Ovis aries: one gene and its partners. The protein of the gene in region 1 interacts with the protein of each later gene in a pairwise test. Links are inferred from orthologs where the notes say so. Each region holds a gene or a part of one and is shown on either strand. Other genes may lie near its edges. The genes, in order: FSD2, SH2D4A, CORO1A, TLE5, LENG1, SPATC1L and FAM107A.

The links.
Region 2: the proteins of FSD2 (region 1) and SH2D4A interact in binary tests that used the Homo sapiens proteins (3 or more experiments, as listed by UniProt). The two-hybrid records come from large-scale screens. The link is inferred for Ovis aries from reciprocal best matches to the Homo sapiens genes FSD2 and SH2D4A.
Region 3: the proteins of FSD2 (region 1) and CORO1A interact in binary tests that used the Homo sapiens proteins (3 or more experiments, as listed by UniProt). The two-hybrid records come from large-scale screens. The link is inferred for Ovis aries from reciprocal best matches to the Homo sapiens genes FSD2 and CORO1A.
Region 4: the proteins of FSD2 (region 1) and TLE5 interact in binary tests that used the Homo sapiens proteins (3 or more experiments, as listed by UniProt). The two-hybrid records come from large-scale screens. The link is inferred for Ovis aries from reciprocal best matches to the Homo sapiens genes FSD2 and TLE5.
Region 5: the proteins of FSD2 (region 1) and LENG1 interact in binary tests that used the Homo sapiens proteins (3 or more experiments, as listed by UniProt). The two-hybrid records come from large-scale screens. The link is inferred for Ovis aries from reciprocal best matches to the Homo sapiens genes FSD2 and LENG1.
Region 6: the proteins of FSD2 (region 1) and SPATC1L interact in binary tests that used the Homo sapiens proteins (3 or more experiments, as listed by UniProt). The two-hybrid records come from large-scale screens. The link is inferred for Ovis aries from reciprocal best matches to the Homo sapiens genes FSD2 and SPATC1L.
Region 7: the proteins of FSD2 (region 1) and FAM107A interact in binary tests that used the Homo sapiens proteins (3 or more experiments, as listed by UniProt). The two-hybrid records come from large-scale screens. The link is inferred for Ovis aries from reciprocal best matches to the Homo sapiens genes FSD2 and FAM107A.

The regions. Positions count from the first base shown.
Region 1 is NC_056071.1:22,359,659-22,362,765, reverse strand, and holds part of FSD2 (fibronectin type III and SPRY domain-containing protein 2), read left to right. Parts: intron 1-1,785; coding exon 1,786-1,962; intron 1,963-3,107.
Region 2 is NC_056079.1:37,630,994-37,634,971, reverse strand, and holds part of SH2D4A (SH2 domain-containing protein 4A), read left to right. Parts: intron 1-3,047; 5' UTR 3,048-3,242; coding exon 3,243-3,423; intron 3,424-3,978. UniProt on the Homo sapiens protein: Inhibits estrogen-induced cell proliferation by competing with PLCG for binding to ESR1, blocking the effect of estrogen on PLCG and repressing estrogen-induced proliferation. May play a role in T-cell development and function.
Region 3 is NC_056077.1:26,650,169-26,654,802, reverse strand, and holds the start of CORO1A (coronin-1A), read left to right. Parts: upstream 1-1,521; 5' UTR 1,522-1,678; coding exon 1,679-2,034; intron 2,035-2,490; coding exon 2,491-2,689; intron 2,690-3,831; coding exon 3,832-3,954; intron 3,955-4,051; coding exon 4,052-4,181; intron 4,182-4,267; coding exon 4,268-4,452; intron 4,453-4,610; coding exon 4,611-4,634. UniProt on the Homo sapiens protein: May be a crucial component of the cytoskeleton of highly motile cells, functioning both in the invagination of large pieces of plasma membrane, as well as in forming protrusions of the plasma membrane involved in cell locomotion.
Region 4 is NC_056058.1:18,531,082-18,534,440, reverse strand, and holds the end of TLE5 (TLE family member 5), read right to left. Parts: intron 3,325-3,359; coding exon 3,262-3,324; intron 2,040-3,261; coding exon 1,965-2,039; intron 1,883-1,964; coding exon 1,661-1,882; 3' UTR 788-1,660; downstream 1-787. UniProt on the Homo sapiens protein: Transcriptional corepressor. Acts as a dominant repressor towards other family members. Inhibits NF-kappa-B-regulated gene expression. May be required for the initiation and maintenance of the differentiated state.
Region 5 is NC_056067.1:63,980,642-63,985,280, forward strand, and holds the start of LENG1 (leukocyte receptor cluster member 1), read left to right. Parts: upstream 1-1,446; 5' UTR 1,447-1,472; coding exon 1,473-1,604; intron 1,605-2,962; coding exon 2,963-3,142; intron 3,143-3,759; coding exon 3,760-4,022; intron 4,023-4,525; coding exon 4,526-4,639. Other genes in the region: TMC4 (transmembrane channel-like protein 4), read left to right, coding at 1-119, 217-372, 611-689, 786-854.
Region 6 is NC_056054.1:266,611,012-266,614,989, forward strand, and holds part of SPATC1L (speriolin-like protein), read right to left. Parts: intron 2,899-3,978; coding exon 2,548-2,898; intron 1-2,547.
Region 7 is NC_056072.1:42,903,825-42,908,602, forward strand, and holds the start of FAM107A (actin-associated protein FAM107A), read left to right. Parts: upstream 1-1,625; 5' UTR 1,626-1,742; exon of another isoform or gene 1,743-4,778. UniProt on the Homo sapiens protein: Stress-inducible actin-binding protein that plays a role in synaptic and cognitive functions by modulating actin filamentous (F-actin) dynamics. Mediates polymerization of globular actin to F-actin. Also binds to, stabilizes and bundles F-actin.

The DNA of each region.
Region 1 (3,107 bases):
GCATCTAGCCTCCCTGCCTGCGTCCTGGACTGTCTCGTAACTGTCTCTTCTCTGACGCTGGCTCCTGCTGACCTTCTTACTGCATGTGTTACGCACCTACTGCCTGTCCCCTGGTGGCTCAGATGGTAAAGACCGTAGGAGACCCTGGTTCAATTCCTGGGTTGGGAAGACCCCTCGGAGAAGGGAATGGCTACCCACTGCAGTGTTCTTGCCTGGAGAATCCCACGGACAAAGGAGCTGGCGGGTTACAGTCCACGAGGTCACAGGGAGTTGGACACGACTGAGCGACCAGCACGCACGCCTGTGGCGGCTTGTGGCGGCAGAGCAGCACAGAGTACAGTGGAGCAGCGTTACCCTTCCTTGCCTCCACCCATTCAGCGCGGGATTGGCGGGGCAGAGAGGAACAAGAAGCAATCAAGTTCTTACCTGCGCTGAGAAACAAAATGAAACTGAGCAACTCTGAAAGTGCTTACTGACTTTTTCCCAATAATTCTTGAGTTGGGCAGCCCCTAATCTAGCAGGTAGAAAGGAGGTCCAAGGAGCTGTACAGAATGAAAGACTTTTTCAGGTGGAAGGGATCAGGAACAAGGAAATTATATTTCCAGGCAAAAAAGGCAGGTTGGCTAAATGTCCACCGGCAGAGGAGTGCATAAGGAAGCTGTGGCCCATGCATACAAGAGAATACTACTCAGCCACTCGAAAGAATGGAATAACGCCATTCGCAACAACGTGGACGGATCTAGAGGTTGTCTTACTGAGGGAAGAGTCAGACAGAGGAGAAATACCATACGACATCCCTTTTATGTGGAATCTAAAAAGAAATGACACAAAATTACAAAACAGAGACTCACAGACTGAGAGAACGAACTTATGGTTGTCAGGGGGTAAGGATGTGGGGAAGGGATAGTCAGGGAGTTTGGAATGCATGTGTATAGACTTCTATATTTAAGATGGATAATCAACAAGAACCTACTGTTATGCAGCAACCTGAATGGGAAGGGAGTTTGGGGAGAATGGATACAGGTATATGTGTGGCTGAGTCCCTTCACTGTTCACCTGAAGCTATCACAACATTGTTTGTTAATTGGCTATACCCCAATACAAAATTTAAAAAAAAAATTTTTTTTATTTTAAAAAGCAAGTTGGCTGTGGTAAGGTTACTTTCCTTTAGGAAAGGTCAGGGGTCTCTCAAGCATATTACCTAACTAGTGTTCTGATTGACTGGTTTAAAATTCCATTTAGGTGAAAGGTAAAACTGTAACTAAGTTGTTGCTTACTGGTGACATGGGGCTTGGCACACAGAACTCCAGTTTGGGCCTGTGGTCTTGTTCATTCAATATTTATTTATTTAGCTGCACTGAGCCTTAGTTGCAGCATGTGGACTGTTAGCTCCAGGGCAGGAATCGAACCTGGGCTCCCTGCATTGTGAGCACAGTCTTAACCACGGGACCACAAGGAAAGTCGTCAATCTCTTTCTTTTTTAAGGAACAAGTGAACCAAATCTTTTTGTTACTCTAAAAAGCCCGGTTGCCGAAAAAGCACACAGAGTGGGCTTGTCTCCTCCTCACCTGTGGCCAGCAGTGTACTAATCTTCTTCTGATCTTCAGCATCGGGCAGCTGAGCTTTGAGAGCAAAGGTTGTGCCGCCTTACAAATGAGGTGTTTGAACACCTGCCTCCACCCTTCCTGACCACTTACTGACTGACCCTAGCAGTTGGTGTCACTCACCTGCACAGCCAGGCGTGGGTCACCCCAAATGACACATACTTCTACTTTCTAAAATCAGGTGTGCTGCAGTCATGGGAAACCTAATTCCAGTCCGAGGGCGCCATTACTGGGAGGTAGAGGTGGATGAGTGTTTGGACTACACGGTGGGTGTGGCCTTTGAAGATGTCCCCAGACAAGAGGACCTGGGGGCAAACCGCCTCTCGTGGTGCATGAGGCACACATTTGCGTCATCAAGGTAAGGCGAAATCTGGGTACCTGAGATCAAAATGTACTTTGGTAGGAATAGAGGGAGAGGTTTTCACTGGTAATAACTAAGGTCCATGTTATGTTTTCTAAAATATGCTAAGATGTTTCAGGACTCATTTCCTGCCCCTTTCCCTAAAGTCCAGCTAGAAAGAGAAAGCAGCTCTGGGTACTTTTGATAAAATAGCTAAAATTTATGGAGCGCTTATTCTGTGTTAAGCATTGCTCAACAACCTTGCACATACTATCTCATTTGTCTCTCACAGCTGTATTGTCCCATTTACTTGTTTTGGCTGTGCCGGGCCTTTGCTGCTTCCTGGGCTTTTCGCTAGTGGCACCGAGCAGGGGCTACTCTCCAGGGCAGTGTGGGCTTCTCATTGCGCTGGCTCCTCTTGCTGCGAGCGCAGGCTCTAGAGCATGTAGGCTCAGTAGTTGTGGCTCCTGGGCTCTAGAGCGCAGGCGTAATAGTTGTGGCACTCTTGGGCTTAGTTACTCTATGGCATGTGGGACTTTCCCAGACCAGGGAGGGAAACTGAGTTTCCTGCATTGACAGGCGGATTCTTTACACAGAGCCACTGCCAACATGGATTCAGGGCTTGGATTCAAACCCAGGCAGTCTGGCTCCAAAGACAGCATTCTTTACCACTAAGTGATTGGTTTTACATTTATGTTCAACTTCAGTGTTACTAAATGAAGTTTGACTTGAAGTCCCAAGTCCAACTTTTTTGGTAGATGTGGGCAGAAGCTTAATGGTTATGATTAATTCTGGTTTGCTTCTGCTGCTAAAAGCATTCTGTCTTCTAATGGAGGAAAATCCACAAGGCCCAGGCCAACAGACACTTCCGACTCAGAAGGCCATTGAGTGCAACCTCCCTCCATCTCAAAAATTGCAAAAAATTTTATCACCTCACTCTCCCAGTATCGTGTGTACTATGGGGCCTCTGACCCTCAACTTGCTGAAACCTATTAATGTTTCACACAGTGAAACCTCGATCATGGTTAGTTAAATGTTGCCATGCCCGAGCAAAGGTGAGACCAGCCTTCCTCCTGTAAGGTATTAGGACTAAAATGTGCTCTAAAATGCACTCTGCTAGACCTCAGATCCAGTTTGGAGAATGCAAGAGACACCGTGCACTG
Region 2 (3,978 bases), on another chromosome or scaffold:
CAGACCAGAATACTGGAGTAGGTAGCCTTTCCTTTCTCCAGGGTATCTTTCCAACTCAGGGATCAAACCCAGGTATCCCGCGTTGCAGGTGAAGTCTTTACCAGCTGAGCCAAAAAGGAAGCCCAAGAATACTGGAGTGGGTAGCCTGTCCCTTTTTCAGGGGATCTTCCCGACACAAGAATCGAACCAGGGTCTCGTGCATTGCAGGAGGGGTCTTTACCAGTTGAGCTACCAGGGAAGCCTGATTCTGGGCTCCCGGAAAACTCCGTGCCCCTGACTTGGAGCCAGACGGCCGGGCACACCCCCTCCATCGTCTTGTAGGAAATGGGGATGGTAAGGGGCTGAACTCCAAGGTTGGGATGAAGATTCGTTAGTTACTGCCTTCACCGCTCATGGTCGGTCGTGGCTGCGGCTGGGGTCAGCGTCTGAGACCAGGAGTGCGCCAGGTGGGGAGGGGAGAGCGGATTCAGCCCTTTCAGGGTTTTCCTGTTTAGGTGCTGCCTGCCCTGTCCCTGTTGCTGGGAGTCGCCCAATTCCAGACTGGGGGATAGAGCGGAAGCTTCCAACTTCCCTGGGCAGCTCCTCTCCCCTGTGTTTTATTTCTGTGAAAGTCAACCCCTGGTCAAGAAGTGTCCCGGCGTAAGGACCTTTACCGGAATGTCATCTATAGCTTTTATTATGTTGAGGTGTGTTCCTTCGGAATGTCAAGGACTCATTCACTTTGGCTTCTTAGCACTTGGTCTCCAGCACTGGAGTCCAGTGAGTGGAGGACTTACCTTCTTCCTGCTGTTCTGACGCCTACAGACAAGAGCTCAGCCTCTGGAAACCCCCGTCAAGTGTAGATTTAGTTGTGCCCCTCTCCTGGAGACCGCAGAGTCAGGACCGCATCGCAGGACATCAGTGGTGTGGCTGTTAGAGCCTTTGAGGGTCGCCTCAAAGCAAAATACAAAGCTAGCCAGGCAGCCTGGGGCAGGCGTGCCTGACTGAGTTAGAGTCGGACGGTGCCTTTAATTCTTTTAAAAATTTCTCTAAACACTGTGTTCCATTTGAGCCCCGGGTAACTGAATGCTACAGATGGCAGGACGCAGATGGCGAGGGTCGTGGTAGCCTCAGTAAAGGTCCCTGCTACACAGGGCATGTTAGTGAACGGAACTACATGTTGTTGGTACTCAGGGCACCCTGGGTACCCTGGCTGTTGGGCTGTTGCTTGTGCTTCTCTGAAAAAGCTGGTGTAAATGGAGAAACAGCTGCGCAAGGAGGTGGAGCAGGAACGAAGCTGCAGGAGCCTCCCGGGCGTGAGAGGAGTGTGGCAGCCTGCCTGGAGGTGACCAGGAGAAGGGCCGGGGGTGACTGGCCATGGGCCTGGGAGGGCCGCCGTGTGGCTGAGCGACTGGTCTGAAGCTTAAGAGCCTTTGAAGTTAGTTTGGAGAAAGAAGATATTTGAGAGGGCGTGGCCAGATGGTAGGATTGTTAGTCTGTTTCTTAGAACATAGGTGATCCTGCAGAGTTGAAATAAATAAGCTTTTTGTGGATTTCTTATTATATTGGAACAAAATAAGCATTCTGTTTTTCCCCCCAGAATGGAAATGTGTACATCATTTTCTCCTAATGACAAAAATGTGAAGGTTTGCTATATTTTTTGAAAATAGACCAAATGGAAACGTGTGAAGTAGAACACGTCTGCTGAGGAGTAGGTGCCCCTGTGAAGTCACCTGTGTGCTCAGGCCCAAGGCTCCTCCATCTGAGAAACTGTCTTACAGAGCGAGGACCCTTTGTGATGAGCCTGGTCACCCCTTCAGTTCAGTTCAGTTCAGTTGCTCAGTCGTGTTTGACCTTTGCGACCCCATGGACCGCAGCACGCCAGGCCTCCCTGTCCATCACCAGCTCCCAGAGTTTACCCAAACTCATGTCTGTCCAGTCGGTGATGCCATCCAACCATCTCATCCTCTGTCATCCCCTTCTCCTCCTGCCTTCAATCTTTCCCAGCATCAGGGTCTTTTTCAAGAAGTCAGTTATTCATATCAGATGGCCAAAGTATTGGAGTTTCAGCTTCAGCATCAGTTCTTCCAGTGAACACCCAGGACTGATCTCCTTTAGGATGGACTTGTTGGATCTCCTTGCAGTCCAAGGGACTCTCAAGAGTCTTCTCCGACACCGCAGTTCAAAAGCGTCAATTCTTTGGTGCTCAGCTTTTTTCACAGCCCAACTCTCAAATCCATACATGACCACTGGAAAAACCATAGCCTTGACTAGACGGACCTTTGTTGGCAAAGTAATGTCTCTGCTCTTTAATATGCTGTCTAGCTTGGGCATAGCTTTTCTTCTAAGGAGCAAGTGTCTCTTAATTTCATGGCTCCCCAGTTTATCTGGTCTGTAAATTTAGACCCTGTGAAATTAGGGTATCTGGAAGAGGCACGCCTAAACCCTGGTGCCCTTCCAAAATGCATGTGAGTGCCCTGTCCTGCTCTGCACGGTTTCTGTGGTTCTGGTGAGTTGTCTGAACACCGAACTGTCCATCTGTGAAGATGACAGCGCATAATTGTTTGTATTAACAGCCACTTGTAAGGGAAAATGGGAAAATTGCATTATGGTCTAATTTTTATTTCTTCTTTATTTCTTCCTTAAGCCTGGCTTGGGTTTGGGTGGGTAATTCTCTGAAATCTCAAAAACAGTGTTTGCTTTTGAAGTACGTTGTTTGGAGAGAGGCTTTTAATTTCATCCTTGCCTTTGTCTCTTTAACTGTTTTTAGCTGTGGACGTGGTGGTTTGTTGAGCTCGGAAGTAATCGCATGTTTGCTTAGTTGGGAGACAGCCAAGCCTCTGTTAATTTTTTGTTTCCCTGAGAGTGACCGGTAAAAAGTTAGGGTTTATTTTTTTGTTTTTTTGTTAAAGTATCTTTGGAAATTACAGGATACAGGTTACACAAAACTCTTAACAAAGCTTGCCTGAAATAAAGGCGGATCTGTGTTTCTGCCAAGCTTGCTCCTAAGCCCGTCCTGGCCTTTGTACCTTCTAACACAGTTGCATCTTGGCGGTTGCTCTTTGCAGGTTCATGAGTGGCGTTTTGGACAGGGGGCCCGGTGTGGGAACCCAGAGCCAGTTCGCTGAACTGCCGCCGTCCCAGCCCCACGAGCGTCTGGGAAGGTCTGTGGGTGCCCCCCCGTGCCAGCCCAGGGGAGGCAGCCCTGGAAGCCGTTCTCAAGAACTTTTGCCTCAGGTGCAAAAGACTCCAGCCCCGCAAAGATGCTGAAACAGATCCTGTCGGAGATGTACATAGATCCTGATCTGCTGGCAGAGCTAAACGAGGAACAGAAACAGATCCTGTTCTTCAAGATGAGGGAGGAGCAGGTCCGCCGCTGGAAAGAAAGAGAAGCAGCGATGGAAAAACAGGAGTCCCTGCCAGTGAAACCCAGGCCGAAGACAGGTAAGCGGAGCTCACTCCTCCCGGAGCCTCCGCGGCGGGCGGCCTCCCTGCTTGTTTGCATGGCTCACACTGGTCAGCAGCTAGCCGCGTCTGAGGTCTGGTTTGGCAGGCAGACCCTCAGTGTTACTGAGCTTTTCATGGTGCAGTTGATTAGCCTGAAGCACGCGCGTGCGTGCGCGCGCACACACACACACACACACACACACACACAAGCAGCAATACTCTGGAGTGGTGAGGCTGAGAGCAGATGTCTTTCTTGAAACCGGACTGACCTTAAGCTGCAGTAAAAAGTCACGTGGAGCTGAACTCGAGGGGCATGTTCGGGTCCACCTCCTCTTATCCCAGATGCCTGGTATTCTGCTCTGCTGGGCTTAGTTGCTCAGTCGTGTACAATTTGCGACCCCATGGACCGTAGCCCGCCAGGTTCCTCTGTCCATGGAATTCTCCAGGCAAGAATATTGGAGTGAGTAGCCTATCCCTTCTCCAGGGGATCTTCCTGACCGAGGAATCCAACCAGGGTCTCCTGCATTGCAGGCGGATTCCTTACCAACTGAG
Region 3 (4,634 bases), on another chromosome or scaffold:
GTGTGACATCCGGGAGTCAAATCCATAAAGCATCTGATTCTGGAGTGGCCTTTCTTGACCTTCACATGGCAACCTCCGTGACACAGTCTCTGAACCAAAGGATGGGAATGAACCCCTTCCTCGAGTCTCAAGCCCAGGCTCCGGCCTCTGCTTACTTCTTGGAGCTGTTATTTGTGCTTCTCCTTCCAGCGGGCTGAGAGCTCTTTGGGGCAGAAACTCTGACTCTTTCACCTCTATAACACCAAATTATATCATTTGCCCCTGGGAGACAGGCAGGGCGGGGGTGCTCCTAGGTGAAGACACACCGAGAGGTTAAGTGACCCTCCCAAGGCCACCCATTTGTGCCTGTAGGGGCCTGAGTAGACCCCAGGTCTTCTGGGTGCAGGTGGACACAAGGTTCCCCCTCCTCTTTGCCGCTCGGCCTCCACTTGTTTCCTGACTGGAGGTGGGGCAGAAGGATGGTAACACAGCCTTTGCTTGGGATGAGGGCTATACTAAGGCCCGCTTTGAAGGGACTGATGGGCCATTTTATGGATGCCAGGGAAAGGATGGCGAGTAGGCTGGGGGTGGGCTGGAGAAGGGAAGAAGGAACAGGTTATTTTTGCATTTTTGACATTAAAAAAGTGCAGATTAGATTCTCAGCCACTGGCCAGCAGCATCTGTTTTGGTTTGGAATTGGCAGCTGAGGCGCTGAGCGCCGCGGCGGGAAGGGAGGGGAGGCTGCGGGCTGGTGGGCGAGGCGGCGCCTTGGCGGAGGGAAGGGCTCTCCCCTTTAAGAGCTCCGCCCAAAGGGGCGCTGCCACCCCTGAGGAGGCGGGCGCCGCCGCTTCTCATTCATTGTCTTGACAAGAGCATCCTCCGCGGACGTTCTCAGGCTCCGCCGGCTCCTTCCTCCTCCTCCTCCTCCTCGCCCTCCTCCGTCTGGGGGGTCGCTCATCTCTCAGCCGCAGGTAAGGCTGGAGCCCGGCCACCCGGGCTCGGCATCGCTGCCCTGGGCCACCTGTGGGGCAGGCGAGAGCTTGGCAGAAGCCGGCCGTGGGGGTGGACAGACTGTCAGAGCCGCTGGCTCCGAGGTGGAGACGGGGCCCGTCCACGCCCCGCGTGGAGGGACTCGCCTGAGCGTGTGGGTGCGCGTGGGAGGGTCCACCCGTGTGTCCCAGAGCTCCGTGAGGGGGCGAGGGTGAGGGGCCACGCAGCCAAGATGGAGGTGGGGGAGCCCGGGGGTCAGGACACCCGCCGGCCTCTCCCCAGAACGGGAGTCTTTGGGGTGGCGGTGGGGGGCAGGGTGGGGTGAACCCAGTAGCTGCCCTGAGCTTGGAGACAGGAAGGGGTTGAGAGCAAAACAAGAAAAGGCCAAGTTCCCCTTTCCGTGGTTTCCGGGGCCTGGTACCTGCGGTGGGGGAGGAGGCAGGGTGGGGCGATGGCTTCCTGTCTCCCAGCCTCCAGTTTGGGGCTCCCCTGTTCCCAGACCTAAGCTTCCCTCCCGGAAGGGTCCCCTGCCCCCAGCCAGCTCCTCCTCTCACAGGCGCCTCATCCGCTTTCTGGACAGGTGGACCCACAAGCCTCCTCCAGAGTCCCAGGGTAGGTGAGGGTGGCAGGAGCTCCAAGGGAGAAGGGCTAGGCACGAGGGAGGTGGTGGAGGAGAGGCCGTGGGGCCCCCACACCAAGCTGGCAGGAGATGCTCTGGGGCCCCAGCATGAGGCCTGGAGCCTGGGGAGCCAGAGGCAGGTCCCTTGGCTCTGCTCGCTGTCCACCCAGCCATGGAGGAAAACCGTTCTTGCTGCTCCTCCGAGAAGTGAGCACCAGCCGCTTCCTTCCTGTGGATGGCTTCAGTGGGGTGGAGAAGGCCCTTAAGCGCACCTGCTTAAGTGGGGGCGAGAAGCTGAGGTGTGAGGAGGAGATGCTGGGACCCGAGCCATCTGCCTGCTTCTGGTGCCCAGAGACCCGCTGGGGAAGCCCTCCGGCCATGGGGGACATGCCGCCCAGGCAAACCCACATGCCATTTCCTTCCGTGTGTCCAGCCTGGACCTGGAGGTGGGGAGGGCCCCTGCCTTTTAGATGGCTCCTCATGTGGGTGTGAGGGTGTGAGGTCTGGACGCTGAGGCTGAGTGCACCCTCCACACTGTTGCCCTGAGGCCCTGGAAGGTGGCCCGTCAGAGAGGATGGGCCCTGGGACTGTCAGCCAGTCCGCGGTCAAGTTGGCACTAGGTGCTACCCCTCACCCCAGGCTCTGCTGTGGAGGCTGAGGGTACAGAAGCCAGGCTTGGGACGGGTTGAGACGGTGGGCCTTGCAGGTCAGCCAGGGATGAGGAGGGGTGGGCAAGGCGTGTATAAGGGTAGCTGGATGTCAGTGACAGAGGAGAGCGACAGGGAAGTTAGCTGAGACCATGGCTGCCAGACTGAGGGGTGGGTGTCCTGGGAGAGATGGGGGCCACTGGAAGGTCAGGGTTGACCTGAGGGGAGCAAAGCCTTTCACCCCTGTCTCACCAGGATGAGCCGGCAGGTGGTCCGTTCCAGCAAGTTCCGCCATGTGTTTGGACAGCCGGCCAAGGCTGACCAGTGCTATGAGGATGTGCGCGTCTCACAGAACACCTGGGATAGTGGCTTCTGTGCTGTCAACCCCAAATTCGTGGCCCTGATCTGTGAGGCCAGCGGGGGAGGGGCCTTCCTGGTGCTGCCCCTGGGCAAGGTGAGCCCCTGGAGCCCTGGGGACAGGCCCTCCTCCTAAGGGGGCCTCAGGTGATCTAGTTGGCCCCCTGGGGGTCCCGATGAGGTCTGCGGCTCAGGACAGTGGGCCGCAGTGTTGCCCTCTGCAAAACTGGGTTGAGCCGCATGAACCTTACACTTCCTCCAGCGCCTCCATGCAGTGCTTGGATGGAGCTGAAGCTCAGGGTTGGGAGTGACACGGGAAGTGTCAAATAGCAAGTCCTGCAGACCCAGGGTTAGCCCTCCCAAGTCTCAACCTGGAGCTTTCTCCTGCACAGAGAGGCCTGGGATGGGGTCTGAGTGGGCCCAGCAGTGCTCTTAGGGTTTGGAGGGACCTCTCTGAGGCCCTGGGAAGCCAGTGAGCTCAGTGGCTCCCAGCTCACAGGCAGGGATGAGGTAAGAGACCCTCTCCCCTCGCCAACCCTGGCCTCCCTCAAATCCTGCCCTCCCTGCTGTCTGCGGACCCCCCCGCCCCAGCACACTCCCGTGCTCTTGGGGGGTGAGACAGGAAGGGGAGATGGGCCCTCGGTTGTTACCTTAAAAGGGCTGATGGAAACATAGAGAAGAGGAAGTGGTTGTCAGAGTAAGAGCTGGGCCCGCACTTCACACAGGAAACCGTGCTGTAGCAGCCGTCCCCGGAAGCAGCCATTTCAAACCCGTTATAACAGACTTCCCCATCCTTGTCCTTTCGGGGGGACCTGTCCCCACAGCCCCATCATTCACACACACTTCCCTGGGGAACCCCAGCCCTGATACAACCACACCCTCAGCCTGAATCACGCCGGGGGCCTTGGCCTGTTGTGCCATGGAAGAATCTGGGGTGGGGGTGAGGGCGGGGGTACCAGGCCCCGGCTGAGATGGAGCTGGCAGGAACTTGGCCAGGGTCTGAGAGAGGGGCAGGACCAAGCCCGCATGTCCATCCTGCGCTACCTGTGGCCAGCCTTCTGAGTTGCCCAGACAGCTCTGAGATGGGCAGAGCCCCAAACCCTCCCACCCTAGGTCCCTCTCTGCCTTCCAGGGACCCCACACCTTTCCCCTCTGTGCCTCTCTGAAGGGGTGTGGGGAGGTGGGATTGGGTTTGGCGGGCCAGAGCACCTCCCTCAGAGGCCCCGCTGTGTCCTCCAGACCGGCCGTGTAGACAAGAATGTGCCTATGGTCTGTGGCCACACGGCCCCGGTGCTGGACATCGCCTGGTGCCCGCACAATGATAACGTCATTGCCAGTGGCTCCGAGGACTGCTCCGTCATGGTGAGTATGGGGGGCACCCAGGGGCCAGGAGGGGGCTCAGGCACTGGAGCTGATGTTGGGCACCGCCAAGACTCACTTGCTCGCCCCTTCTCTGCAGGTGTGGGAGATCCCCGATGGGGGCCTGACACTGCCCCTGCGGGAGCCTGTCGTCACCCTGGAGGGCCACACCAAGCGCGTGGGCATTGTGGCCTGGCACCCCACCGCCCAGAACGTGCTGCTCAGTGCAGGTGCCAAGGGCGGGACGCAGGGAGGGCTGGTTGCCTGACAGTCAGGGGGGAGGCTCCTGGCTTCTGACACTGGGGACATCGCCCAGGTTGCGACAATGTGATCCTGGTGTGGGACGTGGGCACGGGGGCGGCCGTGCTGACGCTGGGCTCCGACGTGCACCCGGACACCATCTACAGTGTGGACTGGAGCCGAGATGGTGCCCTCATCTGTACCTCCTGCCGAGACAAACGAGTCCGCATCATTGAGCCCCGAAAAGGCACCATAGTAGCTGTGAGTTGCCTTGACCTTTGACCCTAGGAGCTTAACCCCCCACCCCCCACACCCCCAATGAGGCCCCCTTAGATGTTGCCCACTCCAGCTCCCAGCTGGGGCCTGGCCCTTAGAGGGTGTGTGCGGATGCCTGACCGGTCCCCTCCCTTTCCTTCCAGGAGAAAGATCGTCCCCATGAGGGG
Region 4 (3,359 bases), on another chromosome or scaffold:
CCCTGTGCCCTTGGCCACCTGGAAAGCCACTGGATCAGGCAGATAGTTGAGAATTCCCTGGTCTCCTCATGCTCCTAGTCCCTTGAGAGTGAGAGTTCTATGCCAAGAAGCCCTGGCAAAGATCTTGCAAGATGGAAGATACTGCAAAGTCAAAATGACAGCTCCCACTCTCCAACCCGCTCCTTGCCCTCAGCCCTATATCCTGGGTGGGGAGACTGATGTTCTCTTGACTGAAGTGCCAGGTGCCCTAGGGAACCACCTTTCCTCCTGGCTCCCCCTCCCCAGGTGGTCCAGCTTGGATGCAGGGGCGTGAAGGCAGGCTCCAAGTGGTCCTTGGAGAGTTGAGGTCCAGCCAGGAATCAGTTCTCTGATCTGGAAGAAGCCATCTGTAATGCACGCACAGTGACTGCTCATGGTCTTAACATCTGTCTCTTAAGGGTAAAGAATTTCACTTAGGAACCATCTGGCCTGAGGCTCAGAAACCAGTCCCACCACTTATGCTCAGTGACCCCTTAGCTTTTCTGAGTCCTTTTGCCTACTTGTCAAAACAGCTGACCAGACCTCAAACACCTAGGCTTTACTGTGTGACCTCGAGCCTCCATCTGACCATCTCTGGGCTAGGGACTGCGTTCAGGAGCTAAATTATATTTACAAGCTGGACTCAGGACTGTTCATATCCAGTCCCGTAACAGAGGAGGGGCCTGAGGCTTGAAGGAGGCCCCCCTCCTCCCCTGGGAAGGGAGTCACCGCGGGGCAGCCCACAACACAGAGGCAGAAACACAGCAACCAACCTTCTCACGTCTTTATTTGAAAGGCACAGCTAAGCCCACCCTCGATACAGCATTTTCACTTCTCTCCGTAGAGATCAAACGACTGAACACAACAAAAGCTGACAGTCTAAAAGGCTATATACAGACACAGGTGTGGGTGTTGCTTTTTTTTTTTTTTTTAACATTTTTGTCTTTTTCCTTTTTTTAATATCCCTTTTCTTAAAAGACAAGCTAGTATACTGGAAAAGGGGGGGGGAATAAAAACCAAGACAACTTGAGTACCCTCATCTTTATTCGGGAAGGGGAGAAAGGGAGTTCTGAGTTGCTGGCCCCACTGTTGCCCTGGGGCTAAGCTTGCTGTCGGTGGCCCCTCTTTCTTTTGTGGGTGCGGGCATCAGGAACTCATGGAGGGTGAGTGGGTGGGAGGGGGAGACGCGGGGTGCCCAGGGTGGGGAGGGGCAGCTAGCATTGTGTTTGCATGCAGTGCCAGAATGGGAGGCTGGGGTGGGGGCCCCCTCCTGGCGGGCAGACTGTCAGTTACATGTGTGTGAATCAGGGAAATGCAGGGGGTGTTGGACCTCTTGAGGTTTTGCTCCCTTAGGACCTGGCCTCCCCTATGTCTCCAGGCCTCAGCTTGCCTCATCTGTGGTATGAGTGGGTACTGACCCATTCAGTCTACAGGGGAGGAGGAGGCCAGGAATTAGGGGTAGGAGCCAAGCCAGGGTAGGGCACAGAAGCAGGGCGACAGCCCCAGCAGGCAGCTAACATAAATACTACCAGAGTTTGGCCAATCCCAAGCTATCACTGTGTCTCGCGTGCTGAACCTTCCTCTCTCTCAGTGTTTGTCTCCCCTCTGTCCCACCCCCCACCCTCCCCATCCCAGCCGCCCACTAATCCGACTTCTCGCCGTCGTCCTCCTGGTGGGTGTCACCGTCATGCCCGTTTTTGTCTTCCTTGGAGAGGTGGGCCTGGGAGCCCAGCGCTGACAGAGAGAGGAGGCCGGTGCCCGCGCTGACCGCCGGCAGAGAAGGGGGCTGCAGCCCCACAGGCAGGGGGGTCAGGGGCAGGGCCAGAGCCTGCAGCTGAGACAGCTGGTGGGCTTGGAGCTGCTGCTGCAGTACACAAACAGGGGAGCATTAGCCCCCTTGAGCCCACCTGTCCCTCCCCCATCCCCCCACAAGACCCCAGACGTACTCGGATGATGGAGTTCAGCTCAGGAGCAGTGACCTGCTTAGCCCTCTCGATGGCTCCCAAGACCTGCTGCTGGTGCTGGAAAGTGGGGGGTGGGGGATGGAGAGGTGACAGATGATTCACCCCGTCTTGTTGGGATTTGTGGCACAGAGCCCAGAAGTCCCACTCCCATCTGCACTGTTAGAGCCCTCCCTCTCCTCGATTTCCCATCTCTCCCCTCAGGAAACTCCCCTCTCTCCAGGTGATTCCTTTCACAAAGCCTCAGTCTCTTCATCTGGAAAATGGGATACATAGAGATGCACAGAAGGCCCAAAGGGCTTGGTACCAGAATCTTAGGAAACCGTGGACTATGACCAATGCCACATGCAAAGAAGTCAAAGCTTGTTAAGAGCTCAGACCAGGACTGCTAATGGAAGAGATCTGAGGTCTGCTAACCCAAGCTCCTCTTCCTCCGCAGCCGTGAAGGCCCAGTGAATTCTGGCACAGCTGGGGTACGAGTCGAGGTTCGGGGCAATCCCCAGCTTTCCCTGAAAATTTGTCTCTTTGGCTATCAGATGCTAAAATCTGCCAAGCTCCTTTTGTGCCTTGGCTACCAGGGAGCCCCTGCTATGAAAGGAAACCATAAAGCTAGATTTTCAGGGCCCTAAGAATCTCCTTCTCTGGGGCTTCCATGGTGTCCTCCTGGAATTGTCCCTGGGCATCATCCCCTGTGGGACCCTAAGGTACCAGCAGAGTTTAAAAAGGAAATGATGAATTATCAGCGGTAAATCTGGCAGAGAGCAGAGGGGTCTTACGTGACCCAGACGTGTGTGTGCGCGTACAGTGGGCTTCACACCGAGAATCCCAGGAAACAGAAGAGGAAGACTTGGGTGCATAGACCTTTGCGTGTCCATGTGCTTGTGTGTCTATGTTTTGCATCTGTGCATTTGTCTATTGCATCTGTGTCTGTCTGTATGTCTGCCTCTGTGTGCAGAGTGCCTTCCTGTACACCCAGCGGCCAGCAGGACCAGGCAGACGAATCTCAGGAAGGTGAAAGGCAGAAACAAAATTCTTGGTGCAGTGTTCGGCAATGTAGCTGACGTTTTTACGGTGCAATGACTCACGCAGGCTGGGAATTCCACAGCAGGGTGAGGTCCTTCCCTTCACCCCTGGGGTTTCTCCTGCACAGACTGGCTGATGGCTGGGAGGTCCAGAGAAGGCAGTCGTGTGCCCTGGGGCACACAGATGCCTACAGAGGGGTGGGGCTGAGGGAAGTTCAGGGTCTATCTCCTCCCAGCAGACCCCCGGGGGCTCTGCTCACCTCTTGGGACAGGTAGGGCAGGACCTGGGCACATATCCCATTTAGCCTCTTGACGATTTCAGCCTGGAACAGACAGACACTTCAGCCCTGGGCAGCAG
Region 5 (4,639 bases), on another chromosome or scaffold:
TCCACCTGCTCCCCGGCCTCCCGCACCTTTCGAGCCTCCACTGTGAATTTCTTTTTCCCCTTGGTCCTTCTCCTGGGTCTGGCCATCTCCGCGGTTCCTGTGCTTTATAGCATCTTCCTGTAAGTGTGGGAGGTACCGGCCTCTCCCACCCTCCACCCTCCTGTCCAGGGTTCTGACTTTGGGCCATCCTTGACCTCTGCCTATCTCTGATTCCAGGATCCCACCTTCCAAGCTGTGTGGTCCATTCCGGGGTCAGTCGTCCATCTGGGTGGCGATCCCCGAGTCTATCTGCAAACTGCCTCAGATGGCCCAGAATTTTCTCTTCTTCCTGGGTACCCAGGCTTTTGCTGTGCCCCTTCTGCTGATCTCCAGGTGAGGGCGCTAGACTCCTGGGTCTGATTCTGAATGTCTGACCTGGGGTCCCGCTGCCTGCTTCCGAGAGAGAAGGGGGTTGGGGCCCAAACTCTTGGGTCTTCGGGAAGGAGGGGGCTGGGATGCTTCGACTCCTTGAGTCTGAAGGAGGAGGTCCAGACCCCTGCTTTCTAAAAAGCCCTACGTGGAAGATATTCTGAGAACGTTTGCGGAGTGGCTTCCACTTTATCTCCGCTAGCATCCTGATGGCGTATACAGTGGCCCTGGCTAACTCATATGGACGCCTCATCTCTGAACTCAAACGCCAGATACAGACGGTGAGCCAGGCCTGGCCCCTGGGAAGGGGTCCTGGAGAGTATGAAAAAGAACACAGGGGAGAGATGTGTCTCACCTCCCCTCTACCTTTCCCTCAGGAGGCGCAGAATAAAGTCTTCCTGGCACAGCGTGCTGTGGCGCTGAGCTCGGCCGACAGAACTCTTTGACCTCTCCAGCCTGGCTTGGGGTGACGTCCCACTTCCAGCCCCAGACCTGCTCCCAGATCCTTTTTGAGCTTCGTCAACATCATTTGGAAAATGAGTGAACTGGGGAAGACCCCGTGCTTTTCCAGCCCTGGGATTCCCTGCTGAGGCCCCGACCCTCCAGTGAACCTCTTTCTAGTACTGTATCAATGAATCTAGTACTGTGTCAATAAACACAGCGGAGGCCGCTGAGTGCTTTTTAATCTCCGGTCCAGAAGCTGGGGCAAGCCTTCACAGGACATAAACCAATCAAATGTGTGGCTCTGAGAGCGTGGCGGACTCTTCCGCGAGAGAGACCGCGCCAGCCAATCAGCGGCTGCGTTCAGGAGCCTCGGGGCGGGGACACGTGATTGAATCAGAGTCTTGGGGAGCGGCGGTCGCTAGGCGACGCCACGCGCGATTCTCGGAGACGGGGGACGTGGGCCCCGCAGCCAGTCACCTCTCGCTACAGCCCTGGGGGGTCGTGTCAGGCAGCGCAGAGCCAATCCGTGGCCGAGGAAGGAGCAACGGGGCGGGGCCTGCCTCTCGCCAATTGGAAGTGCCAGGAGGTGGGCCTGTCGGTCCGCGGACGGCTGAGGCGCCATGAATATTTTACCCAAGAAGAGCTGGCACGTCCGGAACAAGGACAATGTCGCCCGCGTGCGGCGTGACGAGGCCCGAGCCCGTGAGGAGGAGAAAGAGCGTGAGCGGAGGGCGCTGCTCGCTCAGCAGGAGGTGAGCCCCCGGCCCGGGCGGACGCGGCGCCGCGGCTCAGCGCGCAGGCGCCGGGGAGCGGGGCGGCGCCGGGGAGCGGGGCGGCGCCGGGGAGCGGGGCGGCGCCGGGGAGCGGGGCGGCGCCGGGGAGCGGGGCGGCGCCGGGGAGCGGGGCGGCGCCGGGGAGCGGGCCACCCTGGCGGACCTGGGGCCCGGCTCCCGGGCGGGCTGGGCCTGCGGGCCGTGCCGACGTTCCCCTCGACCTCTCCTTGGTCCTCCTGGAGGGCCGGAGTAGGGGGTCGTGAGTAATCGGAGCCCTGGGCAGTTCACGGAAGCTCGGGCCGCTTGTTACTTTAGCTGTACAAACACCCTGTGCAGTGAGCTCTTGCTGTCCCCTGGCGGCTCAGACAGTAAAGAGTCTGCCTACAGTGCGGGAGACCCGGGTTCGACCCCAGGGTCGGGAAGATCCCCTGGAGAAGGAAATGGCGATCCGCTCCAGTATTCTTGCCTGGAGAATCCCCTGGATGAAGGAGCCTGGTGGGCTACATACCATGGGGTCTCAAGGAGTCGGAAACGACTGAGCGACTTCAGTTTCGCTTTCCCCTGTTCATCCCGTGCAAAGCGCTTGATTTGCAGTCTCTCGAGCCCTGTTCGTTCTTAGCGGGGCGGTTATCTCCCTTCGGCGGAGAAGTGAGATGGCTTCAGAGGAGCCACAGCGAAGCGACAGTGTCTCAAGCCAGTCCCGCTGCGCCAGGCGTGCCTTTTGCCTGCACCGCTGCGCACAAACGTTAGAGAGTCTCTCTAACTCCTCACCTGTTTGGTTTACACCTAGCTTCCAGTCCTTTGACTAATCCGATCGTCAGCACTGGCTGGGAGGTAGTCAGGGTTTTTAAAGCTCACCTTTATCGGACTTCCCTAGTGGCCCAGTGGCGTCCAATGCAGGGGCCCCAGATTCAGTCCTTGATCAGAGAACTAGATCGCACATGCTATAAAACTAGATCTGATGCAGCCAAAGCAATATTTTTTAAGTTCACGGTTATCAATAGAAATTGGAAATCAAATGGGCATAATGACTCAGCGCCCTTCCTGGAATTCAGATCACCTGTCCTAATAGATGTTTTGGCTGCCTTTATAGCTGTTTTCATTGTGTCAGAAATGAAACCCCCTCGTTTACTGTTTGGAAGATGGCTTACAAACCATGCCTTGCCTCACTGCTCCACCCTCTCCCCAGGAATAGTCAGGTGCCTCTTCTGGGTTCCCAGTGCCCCTGCTCCCTTCCTTCGAGCCCTTACCACTGCAGTGGTCAGCACTAGGCTCAAGAGTCCCTTGGGCTACAGCTAGGTTCTGAATGTTCTGCCTGTAACTTTTTTTCCCTCCAGGCCCGCACAGAATTCCTACGGAAGAAAGCCAGGCATCAGAACTCACTTCCTGCACTGGAAGCAGAAACGGGAGCCCCATGCAGTTCTGGCCCTGTGGATCTGTTTCGGGAGCTGCTGGAAGAAGGCAAGGGGGCGACGAGAGGCAATAAAGAGTACGAGGAAGAGAAGCGACAGGAGAAAGTAAGGTGGCCTTACCCTCTTCCTCGGGTCACGGGTGGAGCCAGGGGTGGGGGTGTACCTTGCCCTCAGGTGTGATTACGGGAATATTTAGGGAGATGGTGGGGATTAAACAAGCTAGAGAACTCAGAATAGTATTAGAACATAGCATGTTAAGAGGTGTTGATTATTGCCGGGTGCTAGGTAGACCCCCTCAGGTCTCTAACCTGATGTGCAAACCTTGAAGATGTTGGGAAGTGTTAAGCTTCTTAAAATGTAAATCAGACGCTGTCCCTCACTTGCCCTCGGGGTTTCCTATCAGACTGCCTCCCCGCCCCTCCCCCCTCAGTCACTGCTTTACCTGGCTGGCTTCACAGTTTCTTTTCTATCTCCTCAAAGATGCTGCCTTTGAACCCTAACATAAGCAGTCCCCTCCTTCCTATGCTGTTTGTTGCTGAAGCTGTCCTGGTGCCCCAGAGCAGGGGCACCCCGGGGACTCATCTCTGAAGTCCCAGCAGCTGGCAGAGTCGGCTCCTGACGGGCTCTGCTGGCTGAATGTCTGGTTCTGCCTCTGCGGGAACCCTGGCTGCCTGAGAGGGAACATGCTTCCTGTTCTCACTTTCACATCTTGTCTCCCTCAGGAGAGGCAAGAGAAAGCCCTGGGCATCCTAACATACCTGGGACAGAGTGCAGCGGAAGCCCAGACTCAGCCCCCATGGTACCAGCTGCCCCCTAGGCCGGGCGGCCCCGCCTCTGGTCCTGGGCCCGACGAGAGGATCAAGAGCCGCCTGGACCCGCTGCGGGAGATGCAGAAGCACTTGGGGAAGAAGAGAAAGCACAGTGGAGACAGTGGTGGTCACAGCACAAAGGAAAAGAAGGCGCCTGAGAAACAGCGACCCAAAGAGTAAGGAGCCTCTTTGGCCAAGTGGGCACCACGGGCGCTCTGGCTGAGGCAGGGGCTCTGGGGTCTGCAAGGTCAGGCCCATTTTCGTAACACCGTTGAACGTTTTCAGCCTTGTTCCGGGGTCTGCAGAGACTACATGGTATTTATTACAAGGCCACTGCCCTGGTGGCTGGTGGGCCATCTGCTTGCTCTTGTTCACGTTGTATACATTAGATTCTGGACAGCTCTGAGGTTGTTTCTGAGACCAGAGTTTGAGGAGCAGAGGTTCGAGTCAACAGGCGTTCTTGTGTTCCTAGGATGCCAGACCGCCGAGTGCAGGCTGGCACCCTGGCCAGTCTCCTCACAGAGGAGGGGATGAGCTAGGCAGTGCGCAAGTCCGCCCAGCCGAGGATTGGCAGAGGAGCACTGCCCGTCGAGGCCACCTGCTGGGTCCCAGCATCAAACCCCTGCCCTTCGAGGGGCTGGGCCTCCAGCTTCCCACACTGACTGTACTCTCCCTGCAGGCCTCCGTCCCTGGAGCAGCTGCGAGCGGACCGTCTGCGGCGGGAAGCGGCCGAGAGGGCGCGGGCAGAGGCCCTGCTGGCCCGGGTGGGTGGCACGGCGGCCCCGGAGGAGCA
Region 6 (3,978 bases), on another chromosome or scaffold:
CAAGGGAGGCCCCAGCAGAGGGAGAGGGGTAGAGGGGGGCTGGTCAGTGGAACAGTCAGAACACCCACAACACTTACGCATTAAGTTTTCTGTCTTGCATGGGCATAGTCCTTGGTGTCCCAACGCAATTACGATAGTAACATTAAGGACCACTGAACAAAGATCACAACAAAGATGATCATTTTGTAGTCAATGAAGCAGATGTTTTTCTGGAATTCCCTTGCTTTTTCTATGATCCAACAGATGTTGGCAAATTGATCTCTGGTTTCTCTGCCTTATATAAATCCAGCTTGTACCTCTAGAAGTTCATGGTTCACATACTGCTGAAGCCTAGCTTGAGGGATTTTGAACATAGCAAATAGAAGGGGAAAAATTGAAAGCAGTGACAGATTTTTTTTTTCTTGGGCTCCAAAATCACTGCAGATTGTGACTGCAGCCATAAAATGAAAAGAAGCTTGCTCCTTGGAAGAAAAGCTATGACAAACCTAGACAGCATATTAAAAAGCAGAGACATCAATTTGTCAACAAAGGTCCATATGATCAAAGTTATGGTTTTTCCAGTATTCATGTATGGATGTGACAGTTGGACCATAAAGAAGGCTGAAAGCCAAAGAATTGATGCTTTTGAACTGTGGTGTTGGAGAAGACTCTTGAGAGCCCTTTGGATGGCAAGGAGATCAAACCAGTCAATCCTAAAGGAAATCAACCCTGAGTATTCACTGGAAGGACTGATGTTGACACTGAAGCTCCAAATCTCTGGTAATCTGATGCACAGAGCTGACTCACTAGACAAGACCCTGATGCTAGGAAAGACTGAAGGCAAAAGGAAAAGAGGGCAGCATGAGGTGGTTAGATAGAATCACCAACACAATGGACAAGAATTTGAACAAACTCCTGGAGATATTTCCCCCAGCAATCTTGATTCCAGTTTGTGATTTACCCTGCCCAGCATTCCACATGATGTACTCTGCATGTAGAACCAGACATGGAACAATAGACTGGTTCCAAATTGGTTAAGGAGTATGTCAAGGCTGTACATTGTCACCCTGCTTATTTAACTTCTATGCAGAGTACATCATGAGAAATGCCGGGCTGGATGAAGCACAAGCTATAATCAAGATTGCAATAACCTCAGATATGCAGATGACACTACCCTTATGGCAGAAAGCAAAGAGGAACTGAAGAGCCTCTTGATGAAAGTGAAAGAGGAGAGTGAAAAACCTGGCTTAAAACTCAATATTCTAAAAACAAACATCATGGCATTTGGTCCCATCACTTCATGGCAAGTAGATGGGAAACAATGGAAACAGTGAGAGACTTTGTTTTCCTGGGCTCCAGAATCACTGCAGATGGTGACTGCAGCCATGGAATTAAAAGACGCTTGCTCCTTGGAAGAAAAGCTATGACTAACCTAGACAGCATATTAAAAAGCAGAGATATTACTTTGCTGACAAAGATCTGGCTAGTCAAAGCTTTGGTTTTTCCAGTAGTCATGTATGGATGTGAGACCTGGACCATAAAGAAAGGTGAGCATTGAAAAATTAATGCTTTTGAACTGTGGTGTTGGAGAAGACTCTTGAGCGTCCGTTGGACTGCAAAGAGATCCAACCATTCAATCCTAAAGGAAATCAGTCCTGAATATTCACTGGAAGGACTGGTGCTGAAGCTCCACTTGAAAAGAAAGAACTTGGCCACTTGATGAGAAGAACTGACTGGTTGGAAAAGACCCTGATGCTGGGAAAGAGTGAAGGCAGGAGGAGAAGGGGACAACAGAGGATGAGATGGTTGGATTACAGACTCAACTGACATGAGTTTGAGCAAGCTCCAGGAGTTGGTAATGGACAGGGAAGCCTGGCATGCTGCAGTCCATGGGATCCCGAAGAGTCAGACATGACTGAGCAACTGAGCTGAACTGAACTGAGCTCTGCATGTAAGTTAAATAAGCAGGGTGACAACATACAGCCTGGACATAGTCCTTTCCCAATTTTGAACCAGTCAGTTGTTCCACGTCCAGTTCTAACTGTTGCTTCCTGTCCTACATTCAGGTTTCTCAGGAGACAGGTAAGGTAAGGTATTCCCATGTCCACAGTTTACTTTCCAGAATTTTCCACAGTTTATTGTGATCCACATAGTCAAAGGCTTTAGTGTAGTCAATGAAGCAGAATCACAGCCTTGTCATGGCAAAGAGGCCTGTATAACTCAATGAAGCTATGAGCCATGCCTTGTAGGGCCACCCAAGATGGGTGGGTCATACTGAAAAGTTCTGACAGAATGTAGTCCACTGGAGGAGGGAAGGATACCCCCTCCCCCTTCATGGATCATATTTGCAAAACATGTACCAAAAAAGTCTGGTATCCAGAATACACAACTCAATCATAAGAAGATAAGCTACTCACTTATTTAAATGGTCAAAAGATGTGTACAGACAGGGCTCCAGATCCCAGGAGCATGGGCACACTCTCCTTCTCCGGCTGCTGGCTGGATGCAGAAGCTGGGCCCTCCCCAGCGGCCAACCCCCCACTCCTGCCTGCTGCTCACCCTCCTCACCATTCAGGTAGTAGCTCCTCCTGGTTCGGTCCCCCGAGGGCAGGCTGCTCTCTGAGAAGCACACCTTTTTGGGCCGGCCCACTTCCCGGGTCTCCAGCAGGGTCTTCTCCACCAGCGGGTCCTGCAAGGGGCTCAGAAGCGGGGACAGCTTTCGGTCGGAGCCTCGGGAGGCACGCAGTTCTGGGGAGCTGAGAAAAGCCTTGAAGGGCACCTGGGAGGATGTCACGCAGCCCGGAGAGGCGTCATCCTCGCTGGAGAGGGGGGCATGTGAGCACAGCAGGTCTTCCAGGGAGGACCCCTGCAGCTGGGAGGGTGCATCAGGGCCACTGGTGAACCTTCCAAAGTCTGGAACTGGGGCAGGGAAGGAGGAACAAGCTGTGAGGCGGAGGCTCCTGGAGCACCTGCATCTTGCAGAGACCCTGCCCCCAGCTCTGACATCTGCCCCCACTTCCCCTCTGGAGGAGGCGATGGATCCTAGGACACCAGCAGCCCCGGGTTCAGAGGCACAGCACACGTATGGCCTCCAACACTCCCACTGTGTGTCCACACACTGTGACAGTGACCTACATGTGTCTTAAATTTTATATAAATGGTATCGTCCAGCTCCTTTTATTATGAAACTTCTTTTTTTGAGATTTATCCATGATGAGTGTGTCATTGGGTAGCTCTATGGTTCACTGAACCATTTCCTGGCACACGTGCATACATGGGCACACATCTGCACATACATGCACACACACACATGGATTTTTTTCATCCACCCCCCCACCCTGCTGCACATGGGACTGTTTCCAGCATTCCTTGTAAAAGCAGAGTGGTGGTCAGCGTCCCTCATGTGTGTCCCCTGCCAGACACACGGCCCAGGAACCATCAGGAAGTCACAGCAGTGAGGCAGCAAGGGCCCCCGGTGCTTGTTCTTCCTCTGGCTCAGTCCCAGAAGCCTGGGCCCCTTTGTTCAGGACTCCCATATTCCCAGGGGAGGTAGGCCATCCCAGCCCTGGGCAGGGGCCGGGAAAACTCTACTCGTGGGCTTGGGGAAGTGCCATATCTGTGACCTAATTTTAAAGGGATTGTTGTGCGGTCAGGTGTGTTTGCACTTCACTTTTAGTTTCTATTTAGTGAACTGAAATTCCCTTCTGTTATTCCCAAGGCTTAACAAAGTTGTGTGAAACATAAAACAATTTTTTAAATCCTCAGTCAAAACTTCCCTGGTGGCTCAGAGGTTAAAGCGTCTGCCTGCAATGTGGGAGACCTGGGTTCGATTCCTGGGTCGGGAAGATCCCCTGGAGAAGGAAGTGGCAACCCACTCCAGTATTCTTGCCTGGAGAATCCCATGGACAGAGAAGCCTAGTAGGTTACAGTCCACGGGGTCGCAAAGAGTCGGACAGGACTGAGCGACTTCACATACACATACATATACACATAATCAAA
Region 7 (4,778 bases), on another chromosome or scaffold:
TGTGGAATCTGTAGGGCTATCTATATTATGTCACCTGTATGTGATGAATTTACCTCTTCCCTTCTGATTTGGATGCTTTGTATTTCTTTTTCTTGCCTGATTGTGATGGCTAGGACTTCCAATACCATGCTGAATAGAAGTGGTGAGAGTGGGCATCCTTGTCTTGTTCCAGGTTTTAGTGGGAGGGCTTTCAGCTTTTCACTGTTGAGTATTATGCTGGGTTTGTCATCGATGGCTTTTATCATTGAGCTATGTTCCCTCTGTACCCACTTCGCTGAGAATTTTCATCATGAATGCGTGTTGAATTTGATCAAATGCTTTTTCTGCCTCTACTGAAGTGATCCGATGGTTTCTGTCCTTTGTTGATATGGGGTACCACACTGACCAGTTTGCATATGTTGACCCATCCTTGTGAACCTGGAATGGATCCAACTTAATCATAGTGTATGATCCTTTTATGAACTGTTGGATTCAGTTTGCTAATATTTTACCGAAGCAAAATTGCATTTTTAATGCTGGCATTCATGCTGGATGTATGCCCTGGGTCTAATCACTTCCCAACCCACCCAGACTCTTCACGAGAAAGTAGAGGTGGGAAGAGGGCCAAGTTTAAGTGGAGGTCAGCTTCCTCACTAGGGGATTAAGGAATGACAACACAGGCTAGAAAACACGTCCACGTTTCAAGCGAGCGGATTGTGAAACTAGGAGAATGCCTGTTATCTGTAAACACCCACACTGGCCTTTGGTAGCTACATATGCTCTTTATTTTCACACTCATACACTGACTCCTTGAGACGAGACCTTCGGGGCACAGACCCCACCAGGGACGGCGCTGCACGCCATTCACACCGAGTCCAGCTCTCTCCGCAGGAAAAGTCCTCCTTGCCGCGCACTGACGGCCTGCTTCCCGGTGTCAGCTCATCTGTGTTTCTTCTCAACCACTGCTGTTTTCCACACTTGACAGGCAGAAACCAAGGCTCAGGGGTTGCCGACCGGCTGCCCAAGGGGCTCATGCCGGGCTGAGCAGGGGCGAACACCAGGGCTGGTCTGGCCCAGAGCTGGTCAGCGTCCACTCACCCACATCCCCTGGGCGCCATCCTGTGGCTCCCCACTGAGGTTCAGGGCACTGAGGAAGCACCAAGGATGGAGTTGTTGGCCTGTACGTGGGTGACTGGAGTTGATGCAGCCTAGTTTCCCCTCCTTTGCACCAACAGCCGCTTTCCCCTGGGGAGTCGCGCCGGGCAGCAGGAAGCCTGCCCCCCCCCACCCCCACCAGGTCAGGGAGGTGCCAGAAGGCATTCTGGCTGACCCTCCATCAGAAACAAGGGAAATGCCTGTGCCTGAGCCACGCCGCTCAGAACAAAGCTTGGTGTGTCCTTGCCCCTCAATGATCTGACCAAATCGATACTTATTTGCGCCTGCCTCCCCGGCAGTGGGGCTCGGACACAGTGTTCCGCATGGAGGAAGTGGCCGAGCACCAAGTGTAATACCCGTTACTATAGTAACAGTTCCTTTCTAATGATACCAGAATAAACAGGAACGCAGAGCCGCCTCCCTCGCTGGCTCTCTTCATCCCCAGGGCTTGACGAACCGTCCTGTGGAGGCGGCCCCTCCTGGCTCACCCGGGACTCTGGTGGAGCGAGGACCAGCAGCGCTGCGCTCGGAAGTTCTCTTCCCAAGGACACGGGCTCAGCTGAGGAGTAAGACCGGCTCTCTTCTGTCCCCCGTGCTGCTGAGCTGGGGTGCGGTGCCAAGAAGGGGTGTGGCGGGGTAAGGAGGGCAGCCTCCCAGCGCCAGGGAGGCCGGCAGGGGGGCAGAGCTCTTGGAGCCCAGGTGCCACACTCTGCGAGATGACGCGGGTGCCTCTGGGCACCTGGGTTTGGGAAAGGGCTCGGAGAGGCTGTGCCGGGAGCGCTCGGATGCAGCCTCCCCCGCGCCCCGCTCTGGCTGATCTCTGTCTTCCGAATGCTCGGGTGCCTCTGAGTTCATGCGTGGCATGACCTCGCGGCAGCGGTAGTTCTCTTGAGGACCGACAGGTCAGAAGCCGGCCGAGACGGCCCCAGGCAGACAGCTCAGCTCAGGCTCCGGAGCCTTCACTTGCTGGCCGTGTGATCTGGGAAAGACCCCTCAGCCTCAGTGTCTTCATTGGCACAAAGGGGTCTCAAGAGCACCACCTCCTCAGTCCGTCGTAAGGATTTCATGAGGTGCGGCCGCTGCGCGCAGCTCGTGGCACAGGGTGAGGGCACGTCCGTGCGTTGCCCACCTGGGTTTGGCTTCAGCACTTTGCAGTGTGAGGCAAGGCTGGTACTGGGCCAGGAATCAGGGGGCTATGGGGTCGGGTGCGTCACTTTTCTGAACTGCTGCTAAACCCAGCGGTTTCCCCGCTGTGGGGCAGCCCCGGTACCTGCATCTCTGGCCAGCTTGGACGCTGAGTGGCTCTTCGCCCCACTGGTGGTAAGTCCTGCCAGGATCCCCCCGCCAGAGGCACTGGTCAAGTGGGGTGGCTGGCATTATGCCACTGGTGGGCCGACACTGTGCCTTGATCAACTGCACAGGACGCTCCACCCGCCTCGCTAAGGACCTTCCACGTCCAGCCCTGGCCTCTGCTATGGAACTGATTCGAAACCCTGTGTGCCCACCAGACCATCTCACAAACGAGGTCACGGGAGACGCAGGCAGAATGCTGAGGAAGTTTGTCTTGAGCCAGTTTGGTTGGGGGAGGCTGCGTCCTAGTGATCCAGCCGCTCTGGCGGGGGCTTCCAGGCATGGGGGCGGGGGGCTGGAAGTGTGGAAGAGGCCCCCAGATATGCCACGCTGTGGCTGCAGGTCAGGGAAATACAAATGGGCACTCTATCCACTGGGAGGAAAGAGGTACGAAGGTTCAGAAATGCGATGGCCACGCTCGTCACTTTCACTGAAAGCTTCTTTCTCCTTGGTCAGTAGTTAATTTCACAGCTTCCCTTCTCCTCTGCGCGTCCATCCCGTGAAACGCGGAACCGAGGAGATCACTGGCTGTGTTGTAAACGCGCCAGCTTGATCAGTAATGAGGAGCAAGGGCAGGGGGAGGGAGCGCATAAGAGTGAAGACTCAGACAACACCCCGGGAGGCACGGCCACCAGCTGGACTCTGCTAGCAGCCCAGCGGGGCGCAGACAGGCCGGTGGATTCTGGCTTAAGCCCAGAGCAGTGAGGGCCCGGCCTGGGCTCCCCAGTGGGAGGGTGCAGAGTTCCCCAGTTCGCAGCACCGGTTTCTCACTATCAAAGGGCTCCCACTGCCTCTACTGGGCTCTCCCGAGTGTCCAGAGAGGCAAGGGATGTAAAGCTGCCTGGCTGACCGAGGCGATGCCTTGCACCTGGAAGACACCGCAGTGGCAGAAAGAGCACTGGCTTTGCGGCCCAAAGCTTCTGACTTTGCCATTTATTTTGCGTATCTTTGGACAAGTAGCTTGGCCTCTCTGAGATTCAGTTTTCCCATTTAGAAAATGGGAATAATAAAACAGTACCACTGGCTGCCTCCTGGGGGAGACTGTGAGACCCGAATGCAGGCGAACGAGCCTTCATCAGATGTCAGGTGCTCAACACGGGTCCCCTTGGCGGTGGCGGTAAAGAGCCTGCCTGTCCATGCAGGAGACATGAGCGACGCGGGTTCGATCCCTGACTCAGGAAGATGCCCTGGAGGAGGGCATGGCAACCCACTCCACTATTCTCGCCTGGAGTACCCCGTGGACAGAGGAGCCTCGCAGGCTACAGTTGCAGAGTCTGTCGTTGGCTGCCTCTGCCCCACCTCCACCACTTCAGCCTGTCCAGTCCTCACAGCATCTTGATTGTAGAGAGAAGGGTCCAGGAAGTTAAGTTCCCATCCAAGGTCACAAAGCTGCCAAGCACACCGACTGTAACCAGACCCGCCCCGAAGAGCCAGTCCAACCAGTCAGCTGAAATCACTCAGGCCAAAGCAAAAAAAGCTTGTTTTTTTTTTTTTTAAACTCTGTGTTACAAAGTTGTCTATTAGAATCACTTTGGACGCTTTTTATGTCATATTGAACTATACTTACGTTGATTCAATTTCAGGTATGCAACAAAGTGATTTAGTTATACATATATATATATATATATACACACACACACACGTGCATTTAAAAAAATTTTTCCCAGTTAGGTTATTACAGAATATTGAACAAAGTTCACTGTGCTATTCGCTAGGTCCTAATTAATTATGTTTTGAATGTAGCAGGGTGTATACACTTATTTCAATTTATCCCTACTCCCCACCTTTACCGGCTGGCGACCATAAGTTTTCTAAGCCTGAATCTGTTTCTGTCAAGAAGTTCATTCCTATTATTTTTTTTAAAGATTCTGCATGTAAACAATATCATATGGTATGTCTTTATCTGACTGTCTTCACTTAGCGTGATAGTCTCCAGGCTGACGCATGTTGCTGGAGATGGCGTGATTCATTTTGATGGCGGAGTGATACTCCCTTGTATTTCTGTGCTACGTCTCCTGGGTCCACTCCTCCGTGAGCGGACATTTAGGTTCCTTCCATGTCTCGGCTACTGTCGGTAGTGCTGCTGTGAACATTTGGGTGCATACATCTTTCTGAATTACAGTTTCCTTCCCTTTCCCAGGAGTTGGGATTGCTCTTTTTCGTTTTTAAAACTTTTCAGTTTTTTTTTTTTTTTTTGCAGAACTTCCATACTGTTTTCCAATTTACAGTCTGTAAATTGGTACATGCTGTAAGTTGGTACTGTACCAATTTACATTGCCACCAACAGTGTAGGA